Linked DNA regions of Drosophila melanogaster. The gene in region 1 interacts genetically with each later gene. Each region holds a gene or a part of one and is shown in the gene's direction. Other genes may lie near its edges.

Region 1 (6,972 bases):
CAGACGACGACACCAAGACACGCAACAAGAAAAAGATTAACAAATTTGTCGGTGACACGCCAGTGCGGTTTCGCATGCATCGTCGCGACTCGCATGACGACTCCAGCGACTCGCAAGATCAGCTATATCCGCCGCCCGGCTCGGCCAGCAATGCGGGTAATTTTATCTCCAAAAGCGGCTCAGTAAGCGGCAAAAAAGAGGGACAATCGCAGTATAAAGAGGTACGATTATTATTGTATAATTATCAGTGAGACAGCTACTAAACTTATATTCTTTGCTTACAGCCAAATAACAAATCCGATGAAAATCGCAAATCTCACAGCCAAAAAAATCGGAAACAGCACAACAAGGATCATGTTGATAAGCATTCCCACGCTGAGAGGCAGCTGGCGGATAGCAGCACAGCTACAACAGGAAATTCCACGAATAGAAGGCGGCGCATTCGCGAGAGCCAGTCGCTGGACCGCATCACAGAGGCTCAGGAATACGAGATGCGGCATCGATGCTACGCGGAGAGCGAGGCAGCATCCTCGTCGTCCTCGTCCACCCAACATATCGATCAGAGATATTCTTTACTCAGCCTAAACACTAGCACATTCTCCGTTGCCGAAACCAAGGAGGAGTACGACGAGGAGGCAGACGCCACAAATGCCACGGACCAAATCATGAATACTTTGAATGCAGCCAAAGCAACGCTTCAACAAGAGCAATATTTTAATAACAATACCAATCTTAGTAGGAACTTCAATCACAATCACAACCAGAGCATCATCCACATCAGTAGCCAGAAAGCCAACGGCAAGAAGTCCAACGAAACACCAAAAGATATTTATAATCTGAACTCAATCGAGCATATCGACTTGATTTTGGAGGATAAAAGCCTTACCAAAGCAATACACGTTACCGGCTCTAAATGCTTTGTCACCATGAAGAAAATCCGACGGCTGGGAAAATATTTTCCCGTGATGAACTTCTCTTAATAGACACAGTTACTTCTTTGCAAAGTGCATTCTAAATATTAAAAAGAAACTCGGTTAAGCGAACTACATAGAAAATATGCATGTATTAATTAAAACGTATAAACGTCAACGTTATCCCCCGTATATAGGAAAGAGCGCGAGAATATTTAAATTTAGTGGTAGCGTAATTGTTTTGTCTGTCGTCGTCATTACGCTTAAATTATTCTAAATATATTAATTTATGTTAATTATAAGTCTAATCACTCAATGCAATATTTAGTGAAAATACATTAATGCCCATATGACAATTGACTAAAAAGGTTATTTGTTTTCTTTTTAACAAATTGTGACGAATTAAAATGGAATGAAACTCGCAACTCGCACAATCTAAAATTGGCAATTCAAATGTTTGCGCCCAACTACAGTGTGTACACACCACAAATGTTGTAGAGTAGGTAAAGGAAATAAAGCAATAAACATTTAACTACTTAAAGCTCTTAAGATGTAGTTAAGCAATGATGGATGTCACCAAGCAATTTTTTTTTATTGTAAGAAAAATATACAATATACAAAAATATATTCTTTTATTTTACAAAATGATGCGTGTAAAATACATTGTACCTAATGCAGGTACCCCAAACGAGTACAAGCCACCCTTTTCAACTCTGGTCACACAGAGCACATCCCGTAAAGTTTTTCAGAGATGAGTTTGCGGCAGGAAAATTGAATTATTCACGGAAATAAACAAAGTAAACTAAGTGGAAACTGTAATCCTGACCAGCAATTATGTTGCGCATCTATCAAAATACTTACCGGTGAGAGACCACGCCCGAAACGCGAAAGCCTTACGTGCAGATTTTCTGCACGATTTCGTCATCGGCGAATCTCATCATTCAATGTGTTTTGCCCACAGGCGCACCGCGAGAAAAGCTGTTGTCTACTCCACCAAGGTCGCCTGCTGCAATCATTCCACGCTCTGTGGCATCACCAGCCATCCACGTCGGGCGCAGGATAGCGGGAGCTCCAGTTCGAATGGCAGGCACCGTGGCCACGAGGAGTTCCTACTTGCCGGCAATCCGGCGCGGGGCTGGCAAATGCCTCCGCCGTCGCGTGGTTACGGAATGCTGGTGGTGCGCATACTGCGGGGAGCCCTCAAGCTGCGATACATCGTCCTGGGCGGCGCCATCGGCGGGGGCGTGTCGCTGAGCAAAGTGAGTTTCGCAAGTTATATAACTTGTATAGAACTTAGGAGACATGATTTGTTTTCCGCAGAAATACGAGGAATGGAAGGATGGACTGCCGAATTTTAAGTGGCTGGAGGATGCCATGCCGCAGGGCGAACGGTGGAGCCAGTTCTCGCGGAATCTCATTGAGGTGGGCTCGCTGGTGAAGAACGCCATCGAAGTTGGTGAGTGTCCATGTAGACCTACCATCGCCCTTTCAATCTCTCACTTTAAATGGTCATATACCTTGGTCAGATTCGCATTGAACTCTTCGTTTTGATTGATTGATACTGATGTTATTGGGGCGTTTGCTTGTAGATCCAAAGCTCAAGCAGCTGGGCGAGGATAAGTTGTCGGAATGGCGCAACTGGTTTGACAGTCGTCTGGACGATGCCATCGAGGCGGCCGATTATCAAGGAGTTCAGATTGTCGAAAGTAGGTTACACAAATTACACAGACTCCCAACGTTGGGACCATTTAAAGTGAGAGATCCCTATCTACCGCATTCGAGACTTATTCCTAACATCTGTTGCAGCCAAAGATGACTTAAAGGCCAAAACAACGGTGGCCGCTTTAGGCATAACATCCGATGAGAGTCGTAAGAAGTATGGTAGGTTTTTTGCACACCTGCCGAAAGATATACTATATCTAATCCTTCTGTGATTCCGCAGAGAAACTCCAGAGCCAGGTGGAGACGCTGCAGACGGAGATCATGAACGTCCAGATTAAGTACCAAAAGGAGCTGGAGAAGATGGAGAAGGAGAACCGTGAACTACGCCAGCAATACCTCATCCTGAAAACAAACAAAAAGACCACGGCAAAAAAAATCAAAAAATCCCTGATCGACATGTACTCTGAGGTCCTTGATGAGCTATCCGGCTACGATACGGGCTACACCATGGCCGATCACCTACCCCGTGTTGTGGTAGTGGGAGATCAGAGCAGCGGCAAGACCTCTGTCCTGGAATCCATTGCTAAGGCTCGCATCTTTCCCCGTGGCAGTGGAGAGATGATGACGCGAGCCCCAGTCAAAGTTACTCTGGCTGAAGGACCATACCATGTGGCTCAGTTCCGTGACTCTGACCGGGAATACGATCTCACCAAGGAGTCTGATCTGCAGGACCTCCGTCGGGATGTGGAGTTCCGAATGAAGGCGTCGGTGAGAGGTGGTAAAACCGTCAGCAATGAAGTCATTGCCATGACGGTCAAGGGTCCCGGTCTGCAACGCATGGTTCTAGTCGATTTGCCAGGAATAATTTCGGTGAGCAAGTCAATACAAGTAAAACTGCGCACATCTAATGCTAATATCATTTTAGACCATGACTGTCGACATGGCCTCAGACACAAAAGATTCCATTCACCAGATGACCAAGCATTATATGAGCAATCCGAACGCCATCATTCTCTGCATTCAGGATGGATCTGTGGACGCTGAGCGCAGTAATGTGACAGACTTGGTCATGCAGTGCGATCCCTTGGGTCGACGCACTATTTTTGTGCTCACAAAGGTGGATCTGGCCGAGGAGCTCGCCGATCCTGATAGAATAAGGAAAATCCTTTCGGGCAAACTCTTCCCCATGAAGGCTTTGGGCTACTATGCCGTCGTTACCGGTCGTGGACGAAAGGATGACAGCATAGATGCTATTCGGCAGTATGAGGAAGACTTCTTTAAGAACTCCAAGCTTTTCCAGTAAGTATAGAGAGGATGTGATTGGTAAATTCCAAAGTTCACCTCTCTCCATACTTAGTCGTCGAGGGGTTATCATGCCCCATCAGGTGACCAGCCGCAATCTGAGCTTGGCGGTGTCAGATCGTTTCTGGAAGATGGTGAGGGAAACCATTGAGCAGCAGGCGGATGCATTTAAGGCGACTAGATTTAATCTGGAAACCGAATGGAAAAATAACTTCCCCAGGTTTGTAAAAATGTTTTAAAAAATATAAGAGATCTATAACATTTGAGGTATACTCTTTTAGATTGCGCGAGTCTGGTCGAGATGAGCTGTTCGACAAGGCAAAGGGCGAGATACTGGACGAGGTGGTAACGCTCTCGCAAATCTCCGCTAAAAAGTGGGACGACGCTCTGAGCACCAAGCTATGGGAAAAGCTCTCCAATTATGTGTTTGAAAGCATCTATCTGCCCGCTGCACAGTCAGGTTCTCAAAGTAATATTTTGTAGTACTAAGTGTAGGTTGTAAGCAGATTTCGCCGACGTCATCGATGGGGGCACGTCCATCCAATCGCCCGCCTTGTGTGCTCCGTCATTGTGTGTGTTTCTTGCAAGAAGATATGGCTTGGCCTCGAACCTCACGTGTCTCTGCAAAACGTTGTGTCGTTTAAATGTTTTGTTTAATTTTGTATTTATCATGGCCCGCATTCAGCGTCGAATTCCCGTGCAAGGGAATCACATGCGTTAAATAATTTCAAACCGGTTTGACTGATATTCCTGCAACATTTCTTGAATCACAAGTGTAAATTTAATGTGTACTCCCCGGCGGACGATTTCGAATCCCATTAACACCGTTTGCCTTTGCCCCAAAATAGTGACCCGGGATTGTCACAGGTTCTGCGTTGCGATCATGTGCCGGAAAGTCGCTTATAACGAAGATTTACGAGCACCTGTACCGAAACCAGATTTTGGTTTATGTTCACATTATAAAAACGTATGCGATATTAGCGATTTATGACCGAAAAACCCGTTTAAGCCATCGCTCAGCTTGTGTTTATTTAGCATTTTATGACAGACCTGTTAATTTGCTCAATGAATTCATCCAAATCAATGTCTAATTGAATTAAATTGCAGTTATCGAGTTAGGAATCTGAATGTTTCGTCGCTTTGTTTATCATTCCCCCCGTAGTTGTGTGTCTAGTTAATTTGGCTCAACTAATTTCATACGATTACTATGCTCTTTATAGATTCCTTCAACACGATGGTAGACATCAAGTTGCGCCAGTGGGCCGAGCAGGCACTGCCCGCTAAGTCGGTGGAAGCTGGCTGGGAAGCGTTGCAGCAGGAATTCATATCGCTGATGGAGCGTTCGAAGAAGGCGCAGGATCACGACGGCATCTTCGATCAGTTGAAGTCTGCGGTGGTGGATGAGGCTATACGTCGGCACAGCTGGGAGGACAAGGCCATCGACATGCTTCGCGTTATCCAGCTGAATACGCTGGAGGATCGGTTCGTGCACGACAAGCAGGAGTGGGATTCGGCGGTTAAGTTCCTGGAGAGTTCGGTGAATGCCAAGCTCGTGCAGACGGAGGAGACTTTAGCACAAATGTTTGGTCCCGGCCAAATGCGACGAATTACCCACTGGCAGTACCTGACGCAGGATCAGCAGAAGAGGCGAAGCGTTAAGAACGAACTCGACAAAATACTCAAAAACGATACGGTATGGGTAGTATACATTATATAGTTAGTTATTCCTCATTTACACGCATTACATTATGTTGGTAGAAACATTTGCCCACCCTGACCCATGATGAACTGACTACGGTTCGCAAGAACCTTCAGCGTGATAACGTGGATGTGGACACGGACTACATAAGGCAAACGTGGTTCCCGGTCTACAGAAAGTAAGTTGTAATGCTAAACCATTTAGACTGCTTATCAGTTAGCACATATGTCTCTTTTTTCAGACACTTTCTGCAGCAGGCGTTACAGAGGGCAAAGGATTGCCGCAAAGCATATTACCTCTACACGCAGCAGGGAGCCGAGTGTGAGGTAAGTGTTAAGGTTTTCCCTCTTATCTGAACCAATTTACTTAACTTATTGCTTTCTCAGATATCCTGCAGCGACGTCGTGCTCTTCTGGCGCATCCAGCAGGTGATCAAGATAACAGGCAACGCACTGAGACAGCAAGTAATCAATCGGGAGGCGCGGCGGCTGGACAAGGAGATCAAAGCGGTGCTGGACGAGTTCAGCGATGACGAGGAGAAGAAGGGTTACCTGCTCACCGGCAAGCGCGTGCTACTAGCCGAGGAGCTAAGTGAGTGCTTTGCTTAATTGAATTTGGCGCCAATTTAATTGCTTTCAATTCAACAGTCAAAGTGCGGCAGATCCAAGAGAAGCTGGAGGAGTTCATCAATTCACTTAATCAGGAAAAGTAGTGTGCCATGACCAAAGACACAACACCCGAGGCGTTACTTATTTAACTTGATAGTTTAAGACCACATTTGAAATGTTTGTTCATAGTCACGCTTGAGCCCCTTAGTTAAGCATACTTTGTGCTCCGAAAGTAATAAACAAATAGATCGTTAGTTCGTATTATTGAAATCGTCTTTATTGTTTATGAAGTGTAACCTTATGTCGCATGCAATGCAATGTAAACTCATTAATTTAAATGTAATATAAATCATTCATTCTGTTTTAATGTAATTGTAGTTGATAAACGTTAACGCGAAACGCACTCATCGTGCTGAGTATGTAGCGGTCCGTGTGTGTTTCTGAATCTGTATCGTGTAATATATATATATACATATATATTTAAATCGGTTTGCATAAGAGCACAGCACTTTTACCAGATGCCTCATCGTGCGGTTGATTGTTTGTTTCGTTTTGTCCACGATCGGCTAATCCCGCGATGCGCCGGCATCTGTATCGGTATCGAGATCGGTGGTGGGTGCATTAACCCCGACCGATCGTCTGGCCGCGTCTCTAATTGATTGATTGTTTGATTGATAAACGTATATCTAGCTAACTATGTATGTAGCTAGCTATGTAACATAACAAGTCCGTGATTGCGGTGCAGTACCATATCTCTTACAAGGTAAACAAATGCTCGTTCCCTATCATG
Region 2 (3,865 bases), 9.7 Mb from region 1:
GCACATACATACATATATATGGCTCTGCTGTATCCGTGTGGGTGTGTGTATTTGGTGTGTGTGAGTGTGGTTTCGATTGTGATTGCTTCCCGACCAACGTCGATCGCTCACAGCTGTTCAAGTGAACTGACTGCAAGTTGATTTGAGTTGAGTCCACAGCACGTAGATACAGATACATGCACCCATACCAGCGTCACATACACGAGCTGTCGCTGTGTGCGTGCCAGAGACCGAAAGAGCGCAGGTTTTTGCGAGAGTTTCCTGACTCGACGAGTCAGGAGCGGACTTGCGGTTAGTTCAGTTGCATTGGCATAAAAGTGCCTTACGCCTTCCTTATTTTCCATAAAAGAGTTATTTCAATCAGCATAGAATTCTTTATTTGATTCGGTGCCCCTTTAAGTCATCAATTCTTCACAGCGCCCTTCTGGCTGGCGCCACCCGCACTGCGCCCCTTGGTTTGATATCAACTGTTGCAGTAGCGCAACAGTGTTGGTGTGCTGTGTGCGGGGAGGGGTGTGTACATGTACGCTTATGAATCAGCTGTTCCACTGTGTATTAATCATATGGCTGTTTGATTAATCTGTACGTTTGCTTGTGTGTTGTATGCATGTATATATACGAGAATAAATACACATTACGTATAAGCGTGCAATATACATATGTGCGCATGAATATGAATCTGGCTTCTGTTTATTTCAGACGATTCCGAACGGTCTTGAGAGCGGAAAATCTGAATATTATACGTAAATATCAGATATTATATGTATGCCAGTACATACATCCTCAGAAAACATATGCATGCAGGCACTATGCTGCCATATACGAGATCTCGAATAATATGCATAAATGGCATGCAGTTAACGTAGAACACTCGAATATTATGCGAAAATATAGAGATAACTATATATATTAACAGATACAAATTCGATGTACATATGTACACATAGTATTTATCTACAGAATGACGCAGCGGAACATGCACTTGCATTTTCATACAGTGTCAGGTATAAATATCGGGTAAAGAACCATGTACATGCAGTGTACATACGAGTATGCATGATTTAATTGTACTCGGACACACGGAAGTAATCGAGTTGATCGCTGCGACCGCAATATTTCATCCTAAGTTTTAAGGCTGCGATATATTTATTTACATTTTATTCTTAATTTATTTCTTTTAAAATAAGCAAATCTCCCAACATACATAATTCTAACAATTGGAGTACTATAACTAGATCTGTCTTCGTCTTCATAAACCAGAATCATGAACGATGACTCATCAATCATATGATCAATTTTTAAAGTGACTTCCTAGGAGCTTATGATCCATAAATTTGTATATCGGTGTTACATCCAGCTTAAATAAAAGTATACATTTATCACGGTTACTTAATATTGCTATTAAATCGCAATAATACCTAAAAATGTTCACTCACGGAGAAAAATCAGATTATCAACAATAAACTCATTTTCAATCTGTAAATAGAAAAATATTTAAATAACCTCTTATTTTAATAAATCTGGAAAGCCCTTTTAAAAGTTTCAACAATTTGAAACTTGAAATTGAAATTGCCTATCGATAGTTTGCAGTTGCCCGTTTTGAATGGGACGATTTTGTGGGGTGCTTAAGTGAATGGTCACAAAAACAACAATACCCAAGGTGATTCAACGTCTGTTATCGATAAATTTTCAGCTCTAGTGAAAAAGTATGGAACTATTCTGGTATAAAACGTGTAAAACTCTGAATATTATTGTGCCTGGACTCTATATCTCGCTATATACGCTACAAACGAAAGCAGAACTAGCCTACAACTGAAAAACAGTAAAGTGCAAAGGATCGGATGCACGACATACGTAACATTTCACCATATATGTGCGTTATTTCACTCCATATTACATTAGTTAATCGCAGTAACCATGGATAAGTGTGTTTCAAATTAAGCTGGCCACCATGCCCCCCAAAGCCAAGTTCAAGAAAATGGCCATTCGCAAGGGATTCCCACCACACCAAACGCATACTTGTGTCTTTAAGTTCAGATGTCGAAATTTCACACCCTTATGGGCGCACTGTTTGACCCCTTCCTCTTTGTTCTCCGCCTGATTGCAAACATGAGTTCCCCTATCTACGAGCAATATCGGTTCGGGCCGTCACGTCCCCTCTCCGCTGGATCACGTACACTGTGGAAGCCAAACAAGGTGCATCAGGAGGCACCCGAGGTCAAACCGCTCGAAGTCCCCGAGGATTTGCGGATCCCAACCCTGCAGCCAGACCCCCTGAATCCGCTGGCCACCATGATGTCTTTCAAGCTAATGGCTATGGACGTAGTAACTCAAATGCAGACCGCCCTGCACAAGTGCGTCAACGCCCAGAGTCCGCCGGGCGCCAAGATGGCGGGAATCGAGTTGGACGCCTTGCGGCGTTGCGTACCGTCCTCGTGCTACTTCTTTATTGACCTGCATCCGCACCACGGCTTTAAGGATACCGCGGAGGATTGCCCTACTAGTCAAGCCTCCAGTGACCGGAATAACAACGCTGGCTGTTCGCAAGGATCGGCTGCCAAGAGCTCCTGGCAGCGGCAGCGTAGTATTTCCGAGTGCAGTGAGGACAGCTTCATTTGCTTTGAGGACGACGCAGAGCAGGCGGATGAGGATGTCGAGGAAGACGAGGATGATGATGACGACGACAGCAGCGTGCAGTTTACAGCATGCGGTGAGGATGAAAATACCGAGGAGCTAAAGGCCTGCCAGTGCAGCGACGACAGCTCGACTCCTGTCAAGAAGGTGAAGAATATTTTTGCGCGGCATAAGTGGGCATATCTAATTTCCTATTTATGCGCACAGGTTCGTTTCAACATGAAACCCGAAGTTCACGTAATGCTCGCCTGGGACTACGCTTATCGGGCTGCCAGAAAGAGCGAATGGCAGGTAATGGCGCGAGATCGGGATCGCTTTCAGCAGCGGATTCGGCGGATTTCACCCATTCTCAATGCCGTCCTGACTCCAGTTCACCGAGATCGTGTCTACCAAGCTCGATTCTTGCACGAGGACTAGCTGGTCCGCATACCTGAAGTAACTTTTGATGTACAGATTACAGTTTAGAACGATTACAGCATTAAATTCCAAGTTGTTTGCGTGTATAAAGTGATCGATTTAGCCACTGCGTTCGTGATTGATTTTATGAAGCCAAAAACTGTTTAACCTGTAAAGTATATCAAAACCACGTACACTTTTCTTCGCCTTTAGTTTTAGAGCCCTAAGAAGTTTGAATTTGTTGATAACGGGATTAGCATATACCTTAATATAACTTGAAATAAATTAAGCAATAGACGTATTTTACTGTGTGTTCTTCTTTTCACATAAGATTGCTTGCATTGTGTTCCAAATTCCCAAGCCAAACAAGTTTGGGTAAAGACTTTGTGTGTACGTGGGTGAGAGATAAGCTCTGAATAGAAACAGATAAGACGGCAGTTTGAAAAAATAGGTACGTTTAACATGGAGCAGTAAATTTCATAAATGTTATCGCGTTAATTCATTATTTATTTCATGATTCCTTCAGTCGTTTGCAACTTGGTTTTGGATCTCCGAAACTTATTTGGCCAATTGGTAAACTCCACCCGAGAATATTAGCTTGTGCTCCCTGACTTTTCGCTGGAGAAAGTGTTTCAGCTCATCCTGAGTAAACTCCACTCCGCCGCTGTGGGAGGCGAACAGCTTCAGCATCTGGTGGATTCGGTCAATTGGCATGGAGTCAAGATTCGTGAGCATTCCAACAATATAGGACCAAAAAACCTGCGGCATAATTGTATAAGAAAAAGCCGGAATTAGGAACAGTTGAAGGCACTTACTTGGAGTTCTTCTTCCCTTT

What was found. A genetic interaction does not mean that the proteins touch.
Region 2: of Opa1 (region 1) and PPP1R15, changing one suppresses a phenotype caused by changing the other (phenotypic suppression), as found in Drosophila melanogaster (one study listed by BioGRID).

What each region holds. Positions count from the first base shown.
Region 1 is NT_033778.4:14,230,088-14,237,059, reverse strand, and holds Opa1 (optic atrophy 1), read left to right. Parts: upstream 1-1,610; 5' UTR 1,611-1,745; coding exon 1,746-1,774; intron 1,775-1,872; coding exon 1,873-2,170; intron 2,171-2,231; coding exon 2,232-2,367; intron 2,368-2,500; coding exon 2,501-2,617; intron 2,618-2,717; coding exon 2,718-2,792; intron 2,793-2,853; coding exon 2,854-3,443; intron 3,444-3,498; coding exon 3,499-3,872; exon of another isoform or gene 3,873-3,930; coding exon 3,931-4,095; intron 4,096-4,156; coding exon 4,157-4,344; coding exon of another isoform or gene 4,345-4,358; exon of another isoform or gene 4,359-5,095; coding exon 5,096-5,568; intron 5,569-5,633; coding exon 5,634-5,752; intron 5,753-5,815; coding exon 5,816-5,900; intron 5,901-5,960; coding exon 5,961-6,165; intron 6,166-6,221; coding exon 6,222-6,286; 3' UTR 6,287-6,449; downstream 6,450-6,972. Other genes in the region: Snrk (SNF related kinase), read left to right, coding at 1-221, 285-980.
Region 2 is NT_033778.4:23,975,064-23,978,928, reverse strand, and holds PPP1R15 (protein phosphatase 1 regulatory subunit 15), read left to right. Parts: upstream 1-1,673; 5' UTR 1,674-2,037; coding exon 2,038-2,781; intron 2,782-2,841; coding exon 2,842-3,051; 3' UTR 3,052-3,330; downstream 3,331-3,865. Other genes in the region: mr (morula), read right to left, coding at 3,589-3,789, 3,846-3,865.